Diceros bicornis minor: one gene and its partners. The protein of the gene in region 1 interacts with the protein of each later gene in a biochemical or structural test. Links are inferred from orthologs where the notes say so. Each region holds a gene or a part of one and is shown on either strand. Other genes may lie near its edges.

Evidence for each region.
Region 2: the proteins of MAPK9 (region 1) and JUNB form a complex in vitro, tested with the Homo sapiens proteins (2 studies listed by BioGRID). The link is inferred for Diceros bicornis minor from reciprocal best matches to the Homo sapiens genes MAPK9 and JUNB.
Region 3: of the proteins of MAPK9 (region 1) and ATF2, one has a biochemical effect on the other in vitro, tested with the Homo sapiens proteins (4 studies listed by BioGRID and IntAct, with this or other methods). The link is inferred for Diceros bicornis minor from reciprocal best matches to the Homo sapiens genes MAPK9 and ATF2.

What each region holds. Positions count from the first base shown.
Region 1 is NC_080740.1:93,220,503-93,224,249, forward strand, and holds the start of MAPK9 (mitogen-activated protein kinase 9), read right to left. Parts: upstream 2,884-3,747; 5' UTR 2,777-2,883; intron 1-2,776. UniProt on the Homo sapiens protein: Serine/threonine-protein kinase involved in various processes such as cell proliferation, differentiation, migration, transformation and programmed cell death.
Region 2 is NC_080769.1:4,564,210-4,567,500, forward strand, and holds JUNB (transcription factor JunB), read right to left. Parts: upstream 2,491-3,291; 5' UTR 2,193-2,490; coding exon 1,149-2,192; 3' UTR 648-1,148; downstream 1-647. UniProt on the Homo sapiens protein: Transcription factor involved in regulating gene activity following the primary growth factor response. Binds to the DNA sequence 5'-TGA[GC]TCA-3'.
Region 3 is NC_080749.1:55,976,925-55,980,671, forward strand, and holds the start of ATF2 (cyclic AMP-dependent transcription factor ATF-2), read right to left. Parts: upstream 2,345-3,747; 5' UTR 2,211-2,344; intron 1-2,210. UniProt on the Homo sapiens protein: Transcriptional activator which regulates the transcription of various genes, including those involved in anti-apoptosis, cell growth, and DNA damage response.

The DNA of each region.
Region 1 (3,747 bases):
GTTGAAGCTGGATACCATCCTGTTCATTTTGCGTGTGTTTGAAAGTCCTCATAATAAACAGTTAAAATCAAGACTGATGTTGAAACTAGTTCACACAATCACAAAAGGCCAAGTACAAATTTAATTATTTTTAAGGAAAATTAAGTAAAAATGTCACCTTCTTAACCAGGAGTGAAGTATAACTACATATTTAGACCAAAAATAGCTGCCCTACTGCTGAATCAATAGCGTTAAGAAAAAAATGTAGTTTCTGTTTTACTTTATGCACCATAAAAACAATTGCTTTACTCACTATTAATTGCTTCACCTGGCACTTTTCTTTATCCAGAAAACTAAAATTTTATTTTAAATAGACAAACTGAAGTGTACGCCCTAACATTTATTTAGGGGGGGCCATATAAACACATTTTAGTCATCAACAAATTATTTAAAGTCCTGGCATCCTGAAAATTCTCAGGAAAATTTAAAAGCTCTCCAGAGAAGACTATACCAAAATAGGATTATTTTTAACCCTGTAGTATCCTTTTGAAGGGAAAAAAACGGTTAAATGAAAGAAAACATTATCTAGATCAGATGTTGTTCTTCCAGAACAAATTAAAAGCCAAAAGAGAATACTTAGAGCTGAGGGACTAGGAAAGAACGCTAATCTGGGGGAGACCTGGGTTCAAATTTCACCTTCCAGCTGCTGGCTGTGACGCAAACAGCTGAAACTCTGTGAGCCTCCATTTCCTCCTCTGCAGAAATGGGTTTCATAGGTGCTCCTCACAGGGCTCCAGTGACAATTAAAGGAGAGTATCTGGACAAGCAGGGCCTAGCTCCCCTGGCCTCAGGCTACCTTTCCAGCTCACTGCAGCTCTTCCCTCCTACGAACCTGCCCTGGAGGCTGACAATCCTGCAGCCAAACTGAATGAGGTCTGTATTTTGCTCAGCTCGTGGCATTAAATTTTTTTTTTTTTTTTGTGAGGAAGATCAGCCCTGAGCTAACATCTGATGCCAATCCTCCTCCTTTTGCTGAGGAAGAGTGGCCCTGGGCTAACATCTGTGCCCGTCTTCCTCCACTTTATATGGGACGCTGCCACAGCATGGCCTGATAAGCGGTGTGTTGGTGCGCGCCCGGGATCCGAACCTGCGGGGCCGCCCCGGGGCCGCCGCAGCAGAGCGCGCGCACTTAACCCCTGCACCACTGCCGGCCCCTGAAAAAATTTTTAATTAGCTACTGCCAATATTTAAAAATCAGGAGAGTAGAGATACAAATCTAGAATTCTGCATTTTAAAAAACGCTAGGCAAGGTCTGGTTCTCCGGGGTCCCCACCACTCCGGACTGTCTTACACCTGGCCCTGCAGGCCAACTCCCAACCCCACACCAGGCTCAAGTCCCTCCTTCGCCCTGCCCTACCCCTTTCTGTGCCTCTCCCCGCCTGGCACACTTCTCAGCACCACGCAAGGCCCGACTCCAGTACCACCGGTGGCCTCCTCATTTCCAGGGCACAGCCCCTCCACCGCAGAGTGGCACTCTGTCCTGGCACCGAAGGTCTGCACGTCTGCCTTCTCCACTGGGCTCTCCTGAGGAAGGGACCCTGTTGTATTGCCTTTGTGTCCTCAGGGTCAAGCAGAAAGCCTGACCCAGATAATGCAATGTCTCTTGAACGTGCGAAGTTAGAGCGACAACGCTACAGAAATGTAAGTTTATATCACAGCTTGTTCTGACAGTTACCAAATAAAGGGGTCAAGGACATTCAAATGTTTCACAAAACGAGAACCAGCTTCCATCCGCTTACAAGTTTCACTCGTCACTCATGAGTCACTACACGGACAGATAGAGCAGAGGCCGCAGGCAGGCAGAGTGGCTGCTTCACTCAGTGAACAGGTATTACTGAGTACTTACTGTGGGCTTTCTAAGCACTGGGGATAAAGCAGTGGACTAATTAGACAACTACCTGTTTTCATAAGGCTACATCCTAGTGGGGGAGACAAAATAAACAGACCCATAAATAGAGTCGTTTCACACCTGAGTGAATGCTTGGAGGAAAGTTAACCAACATGAGACAGAAGGACTACGAGAAGAAAGAGGGTGGTCACGGAAGGCCTCAGAGAGAAGGAGCCGTCTGACCGGAGGAAGGACCAGCAGGAGCCCCAGCTGTGCAAAGATCCGGGCGACGACTCCAAGCATTGGAAACAGTCAGTGCAAAGGTCCTGAGGTAAACGGGGCCACAGGTTCAAGGCGGGGGAGAAGACGGGTGGCAGAGGAGTGCGGTGCTCCGGGTGGGGGAGTGGTGGGGAGGTGGGCACGCCGGCTCTGGCGTCGCTGGGCACCGAGTGGGCAATGACGAGGCCCCGGAGAAGCGCGGGTGGGGGCTCCTGCCACACTAGCACCCGCAGGGGCTGGCTCCCGCCCAGCGCTTTCACACACCTTCCCCGAGCCTGACAACAACCCTGTCCGCAAGCCTGTCCGGGGGAGACCGGGGCGCCGTGAGGGTCGGCGCCCGGCCGGGCCCTGAGCATCCCGGCGGGGCTGCGGCTGCGCCCCACGGCGGGGGCGGCGCCCATGGACCCGCGGCCGTCTGCCCGCCGGGCCGGCGAGCGCGCAGCCCCGGGCCGCTGTCAGCGGCGGGCGGGGGCCCGCGGCGGCCGAGCTCAGGGGCGACGCCAGCGCCCGCGGCCCCCAGCCCCCCGCCCCCGCCGCGCCGCCCTCCCGCCGCCCCTCCCTGAGCGGCCCCTCCCCGAGCGGCCCCCGCCGGGCCTAGCCGCCCGCCCGCCCGCCCGCCCGCCGGCTCACCTCGCCTCTCCACCGCCGTGCCGGGGAGAGGGCGGGCGGGCGGACTGGCGGCGCTGCGCTGGCCGCTCGCGGCTCCGCGGCCCCGGCTCCGCCGCCCCGCCCGCCACCGCCGCCGTCGCCGTGGGTGTGAGGGGCGCCGAGCGCTTCGACCCTTCCGGTCCGCTCGCGTCGCCGCCGCCGCCGCCGCCGCGGTGCCCGCCTGACCGACCCGCGCGCCGGCCAATCAGTGCGCGGAGAGCCGAGCGGTCGCGGCCAATGGCGGCGGGGGGCGGGCCGGGCCGGGGGCGGGGCCGCGGCCTCGGCTGGCCGGCGCCCTGTGGCCGCAGGCGGGGTGCGCGCCGCTGTGTCCGTCGAGCCCGCGGGGCCCGCGGTGCCGCGGCCTGACAGCGAGCCGGCGGAGAGGGGGCCGGCGGGACCGAGGAGCCGGGCCTCTGGCTACACGTGCAGTGGCAGCGGCGATGCGGCCTGGACGGGACGGAGCCGGTCGGTGTGGGGACAGCCCGGGCGACGGCGCGGGGTGGTTCCCGGGAGGAGGAGGCGCGGCCGCGAGCGACTGGGGAGGGGAGGCGGGGGCCTCGGACGCCGCCGCTCCCTGGAAAGGGTTCTTAGGGGTGCCGCCAGCAATCTGAACGGAGCGGGTGCAAGGAGATGGCCATGTGCAGACAAGTGTCCCCGGCCGGTCAGTGACAGAGGAGGCCTAGACAGGCGGGTGCGCTTGGGGCAGGGTTCAAGCCTCTGCCTGAGAGGAGAGGGGCAGGCTCATAAGTAGGGGAGGGGAGTGCAGTGATGAGGGCCCCTAGGGGCTGGAGTTCGCTGACCCCGACCTCCGTTTGAGTCATCTCCCACAGCCCTCCGGCCCAGCTGGGTTCCAGCGGGCCTGGGAACGTATGAAATGATGGCAGAGGCCAGGGTATTGGGTATTCCGGATTCGCTTATTGGATAAGCAAAGCTGGAAGTGAGGCAAGGAGGCT
Region 2 (3,291 bases), on another chromosome or scaffold:
GCACCGCGGCGGCAACGGCGCGCAGGCAGCAGCAACCCCCCGCCCGGGTCCGGGCAGACGGGGCGGGCGTGGGCGCGGCGGGGCCCGGGCGCCAGACCGATGCGGGAGGCTCCGGGGTGGCTCCCGGGGCGCAGGAGCGCGGCCCGCCCACCGCGCACGCTCTGGACCCAGGCCTGGGGCTTTCCGGGTCCCGGCAGCCGCCTGCCTGGGAAAATCCCGGCCCCCTTCCCGGCTCCGCGGCCCTGCCGGGCAGAGCGGGGGAGGGGATTCCCGGAATCTGCCCGGAGACCGCCGGCGCGTCACTGGGCAGAATCGGCCCAAATATGGGCAGCGCTTCCGCTGCGTCAGCGGGGAAAGCCCCGGCGCGCGGCTGGGCGGGGCCGCACCTGCGCACTGCGCGCCTCGCCCGGGGCACTCTGCCCCCTGGTGCTGGGCGGCTGGACCGCGTCCCCGCCCTGGACCTTCCAACCCCAGAGATCAGCGGACGCGAGTAGGGTTGGACGCTCGAGCTGGAGCTGCAAGATGCCTGGGCAGAGCTGGCGAGGGGAACCCGGATACAGGAGCGAGCCACAAACAGCAGTGGGGTGGGGGCAGCCCAGTACTCTCCTCCCTCCGCCCGCCCGGCTTGGAAAAAAAGACAACAGAAATTAATAAAGAACCATTTTTTTTTTTTACTTAAATAGATTCAATAAAAAGTGGGAACGACAAACTCACGCACACACACACAAACACATATTAAAATAAACTCTGTAGAGTCCAAGGGTGTGTTTCTTCTCCACAGTACGATGCAGAGGGGGGAGGGCAGGGGGCGGGGGTCCCCTCCCCAGTGTTCCCGCGGGCTTGAGTACCGGGCGGCGGGGCCAGCTCCGCCGCGATCGCCCCCTCCTCCCCTCCCTGTTAAATACACAAATATATTATATTCAATATGACTTAGTCTGTTTCCAGCAGAAAAAAACATACAAAAAAATGTGGAAGAGGGGCTTGTAAACGTCGAGGTGGAAGGACTGAGCGCAGAGCGTGCGGGCAGGAGTCCAGTGTGGTGTGCGGCGTCCCCAGGCTCCGGGTCCGGTGCCCACCGCCTGCCCCCTCGCCCCGTGGGAGGCGTGCGCCCAGCCGTCCAGGCTGGGGGAATGTCTGTACGGGGGCGCTCAGAAGGCGTGTCCCTTGACCCCAAGAAGCAGCTGGCAGCCGTTGCTGACATGGGTCATGACCTTCTGTTTGAGCTGGGCCACCTGCTCCCGGAGGAGGCCGGCAGTGCTCGACAGACCCGCGTTCTCGGCCTTGAGTGTCTTCACCTTGTCCTCCAGGCGCGCGATGCGCTCCAGCTTCCGCTTCCGGCACTTGGTGGCCGCCAGCCGGTTCCGCAGCCGCTTGCGCTCCACTTTGATGCGCTCCTGGTCTTCCATGTTGATGGGGGACACCGGCGGCGTGGCGTCGCGGCTGCGCGCCTCAGGCACGGTCTGCGGTTCCTCCTTGAAGGTGGAGGCGCCGCGGCCCAGGCCCAGCTGCGCCGGGTGGCCGCCGGCGAAGGGCGGCGCGTGTGGGAGGTAGCTGATGGTGGCCGTCGGGTACGAGCTCCCGGTCCCGACGGCGGCCCCGGCGCCTCCGGAGGGCGCTGAGGCTGGCGAATAGCTGCTGAGGTTGGTGTAGACGGGAGGCGGCTCTGGGCCGGCGTAGACACCCCCGGGCCCGGCCGGGGGCCCCCCGCTGGTGCCCAGGGACACGTTGGGGGGCGTCACGTGGTTCATCTTGTGCAGGTCGTCCAGGGCTTTGACAAAGCCGTCGGCGAAACCTTCCTGCTCCTCGGTGACGCCGCCTCCCGCGCCCCCCGCACCTCCACCGCTGCCACCCCCGCGGGGGTAAAAGTACTGTCCCGGGGGCGTGGGCGTCGTCGTGATCACGCCGTTGCTGTTGGGGACGATCAGGCGCTCCAGCTCCGATGAGGCGAGCTTGAGTGACGCGCCTGTGTCCGAGCCCTGGCTGGGAAAGTAGCTGCTGCCACCGCTGCCCTCTGGGCCGGGGCCCCGCGCCCCGGGAGCTTTGAGACCTCGGTAGGGGTCGGCCAGGTTGAGCGCCAGGCTGGGTTTCAGGAGTTTGTAGTCGTGTAGAGAGAGGCCGCCCGGGGCCCGGCCGTATCCCGCCGCTGCGTATGAGTCGTCGTGGTAGAAGGGCTGTTCCATTTTAGTGCACATCCGGGCGGCCCGGGCGGTCTGGCGGGGTCCCTGCGGGGCCGCCCCGGGCCTCGCTGCAGCGAGCGGCTCGCTGTCCGCGGCGGTGGCTGGACTGGGCGTCTGGACGCGCGTTCCTAGGGGCTGGAACAGGCCGGGAGACGCCAGCCGGCGGCTGTGCGCGGAAGCTCTGTGCGGCTTCTCGAGCTCCTCTGCCCCTCTCTGGCGCGCCCGCTTTCTTGGTGTCGCTTCCCCCTGCTCCCCGCTCCCCGCTGGCTCCGACGCTGGCCTGGCCGCGCTCAAGGTCCCAGCCGCTCAGTCGGAGTCACACGCCTTTATACCGCGATAGTCAGCTGCGGAAGTGCGCCCCGATTGGCCGTTGCTGGAGCCGGGCCCCCGCGCCCCCCCCCTTGAGCGTGGGGAAGGGGAGGAGGCGGCTCGCGTCACTGTCAGGAAGCGCGTGTCCTTGTAAACAGCGGCCACGGGCTGGGTGGCTCGGCGCGGCTGCAGGGGGAGGGGCTCAGGGGACCCCAGGGTGCGCGAGGAAGGGGCTGCTAGGGCAGTCGGGGAGGGGCTCCAGGAAGGGCATGATCCCCCTGAAGTACGCGATAAGGGATACGAGGAACTGATACAGAGCAAGTGTGTGCGCGCGGGGGGGGGGGGGGTCCCAATCCCAGGATGTCCATGGAGAGGCCTGAGGGACCCAGAGTATCCGAAAGGGGTTGGAGGACTGAGAATACACCGGAGACCCCACAAAGAAGAGACGGGAGGGTTAAGTAGAGTAGATGGGGGAGGGGTAAAAATACGCCTGACTCAGGAATGACGGGGGTCCTGGGTACAGAGAGGTTGGGGGACTGGAATTTTCACGAGAGGGGCTGAACCCAGGAAAAATGAGGAGGGGGAGAGATCAAAAGGGTAGACGGGGAGGAGCCGGAGGACCCATCATGCAAAAAACGAGTAGGGGTCCTGGAGTCCATGGGAGAGACTGAGGGGCCCCCACAAGTGGGAAGGGGAAGGAATTGGGGGTATCTAGATATGCAGAAAGTGAGGGTTCTGGGGTACAGTGAGTAAGGGAAAATATGTGGGGTAGAAGATGGAGACTGTCAGAGATTGGGGGTCACTG
Region 3 (3,747 bases), on another chromosome or scaffold:
AAATAGGGAGATTTCAACTACTTTTTCTTCTCTAAGGACATTACAATAAGAATATTAAAGAGAAAGAATTGCTTACAGACATATTTCATATTGGAAGGAAGAGCTTGAAGACAAAATGAGTGGAAATAGCATGTATGGGGGACTGTTTACCTGATCTACATTTAATTCACCAGCAGAGAACATATAAATCATTAAAACCCAACTTTTCCAAAATACAAAAATTTAGGCAGAAAAAATGTAGATGATTTCTTGAGAGTTAATGCTAGTTATAGGTAGATGTTTGATGTACAGCATATCATTTTTTTAAATGATATTCATATAGCTTTCAAATCCTGAATAGCAACAAAAAGCATACCTCCAAATTATTTGTTAAAGAGCTGACATGATCATTTCTACTGTTATCTTAGTTTAAAAATATGAAACAAATACTCTAAGTAAAAAAAGTAAATTCAGGAATTTCTGAATTATATATTTAATAGATAATGATAATGCCCCAAATATGAAATACACCTTCTAATAAGGTATTTAAAAAAGAACTTCCAGGAAATGCAATCAGATCCTCACCAGGAATTATCTACCTTAAAAACACACCTACAAAAGTCCCTGAAAGCTCCTGTCCTACTAATTAAAATACAAACCCTACTTTCTAAATTACCACAATATTATACTTCAAATAATTAAAAACCTAATGGTAGTCGCATCCTCTCAAAGCAAGATTAAACATGTCTTAGGCATGCAGCATACACACCACTGTAAATTTGGAAGATTCTTATAAGTCACAAAGACTAGGATTCTTAATTGTTACTCATTTATTGACGGCCTTAAAGATTCACGAACTTCCTTAATTCTCTTTCTTGATCTGCAGAAGGACATCTCTATTTTTTGAGCATACTTTACAACTATGTGCCTGCAGTTTTGAAAAAAGTGTTCAGAGTGGATTCCTCAAATCAGTATAACAAATTTTATTACAAGATATAACTGCTACTGTCTGTGTCCTTCAGGACACTTAACCCTGTAGGGCTATTTAACAAGCTTCTCGCCTTCATAGTTTTGGTACAACAGACCAAGGATAAATAGCTATTTAAAGATTACACCTAGAAACGCTATTACTGACAATGCCGGCGGTTATGAATTTCTTCAAATGGGACAAAAAAGTGTGCTTATTTCAAATATATACATTAAGTTTATGCACTGCTACCGTCTCCATTATTTAAAATTCCTAAGAAACTGTTAACTTTCACATTTTAATTGAGGAATTAGTCAGTAGGCCTAGGGTCCATCAGGAGTACTCCCTTTTACTCCATCACATTCACAGTAGTTTTGATCTTGGCCTCACCAGTTTTAAGACTCCTTAAGCAAAGACAATTTCATACTACCTAAGGGCACAAAAACAGTTCCCATCTCCTCCGCCCTCTCCCTCCTTCTAGCGTCGGTTCCACGAGCGAATATAGATCTCTGTCCCTCTCTCTGCTCTGGTCCCTACAACTAGCTCTGCAGTCCACCCAGGAAGGTAAAAGAATGGGGGAAAATACTAGAATCAATCTGCACCCACACCTCAGCCCCGCCCACGGGGATAAAGCGGGGGTGGCGGGAGTGTGAGGGGGCAGAAAGGACAGAAAAGGCCGAGAGTTCTCCATACCATTTGTTCCATCACGTTTCACCGCAGCCAGAGACCCTGACCCTATTTCCAGCCGCGCCTCCGGATCCTCCTCCCCGCCACCATCACACACACACACAGTCCCCAACGTCTGAGTCCTGGGTGCGGAGACCAGAGCCGGCCCTCTTCCTGCTCAATCCAAGGACTGCAGAGAGGGTCTCCCTGCGCCCTCGGCGCATCGACGTGTGCCCTAGGGACCTCTGAACTGACCGGAGAAGGGGAAGATCAATCGGGAGGAGGGGTCTAAGAGGAGCCGTTATTCCCCTTTCCTCTTCGTTAGGAAAGCGCGCGAGCGGGGAGGGGCCGGAACAACGAACGCGTTACCTAACGGTCCGGCCCGGCCAGTCGGGCTCCTGAAGGCGACGCCGCGCCGGCCGCTGAAGTGCCAGCTCAGCCACAGTCGCCTCGAGGGTTAGGCACCGAAGCAGGCGCGCCCGAGGTGATAGGAAGCGGGGGGTGGGGACTATGGTGAGCGACGTCGCCATGTTAGTGCCTTCTTTCTCTGTATCCCTACGGTCTCCAGTCCTGCGGCGCACTCCCCATGACTACTCACCTCTCTAGGTCACTAGTTCATGCTTCTTTCGGTCACCGGCGAGGCCCGAGCTCAGCCGTGTTTACAAACTACCCGTGGAGGAAAGGCTGAACCGCACTTTAAAGGCCACGGGCTCCCACAGGCTTCCGTCCTCTCTCGCGAGATCGGACTGACACCTCCTTCTCCCCGCCCCACTCCCGGCATCCCCCCTTTCTTCTCGAGTCCCTGCCCTCCACGCACACGCCGCTTCTTGTCTTACTTCAGACGAAGCGCCTCCGGGTCAAGCGAGTCCGTCAGGTTTAAAGGAGGGGGCGGGATTTCAAGGGGGCGGGGCTGAGGGGGCGGGAACCAAAGAACACTCGGTGCTGGTGATTGGACAACAGCTCGAAGGGCGGGAAGCAGTTCTGGAGGGGGCGGGACCAGAGCGCCTTGGTCCTCCGTAACCAAGGACCTGCGGAAGCCTGTGATTGGCAGCCGCTTGAGGCGGGCGCTGGAGCAGGTGGATGTTGAGGTCGCCGGAAGGGCCTGACGGTGTGCGGGAAGGGAAAGTGAACTCTAGGAATGCTGCTAGTGGCGGGAGAGAAAACGGGACGAGTCCTCCGAGTCCCTCCCCGGGAGCTCGGTATTTCCATTGCTGTCACGTCCCGGCCCTTGTAGGAAGCCGGGTAAAGCGTAGGGAGGCGCGCGCCTAAACCCGTCTTCTGGCTACCCTGCAGCCCGAGAAGGGGAGCTTCGGTTAAGCTGAGGTTTGGAAGAGGCGGAGTTTACCGGAAATTATCCCCCAACCCCCGCTACACGCCCAAAGCGGGAAAGCAAGATAAGTCAGTTCTGAAAAGAAAAGAAAAAGCCATTACTCTGAATGGCATTTGTTCGAATTTTTCTAAACTGTAACGGGACTGATTCTTCCGGCTTCTAAACGCCTAGTACCGTGTATGATATTAGCATATAGTTATGTTCTAAGTAACTTACCAAAAGGAAATACAGTGACTTCCACTAGATTACTGTAATTTAAAATAGCGCAAGGCTTGTTTTTAAGAGAAAAATCTTCCATATTATGGTGAATCCTATTTTATCAATTTTCGTTTACTTAGTAGTTATACATTTAAAAATATCAATTTTAGTAGAGATAGTTTCAAACCTTTAAAACATCCACAACTCTGTATTAACATTTTAGAGAGGACCAAAGGACACCAAATTAGACTATGGCATAGAAATGGCACTCTTTCCACAATATAATGCCAATGAAATGTCTGTGAAGCTTTGAAAGTAGCTCTTTGAAAAAAGAAGGAGGGGGGAGTTTATTTGGTTAATTTAACCTGAGGGACAAAAAAGACCATATTTACTACTCTGCAGTTGACATAGAGACACTCCTAAAAACACAGAAAGAAGTACATTGCTGAAAATGTTTCTTCTTAATGTTGCTCTACGATTCTCTATACAACTTAAAGATTTCAGTGTTAAGTGTAGGGATATTGCTTTTTCAATAAATACACACTGGCACAAGTTGAAAAGTATGATCAGGAGCCTCTGTGGAAATTTGCATTAACTATTAAAAAAA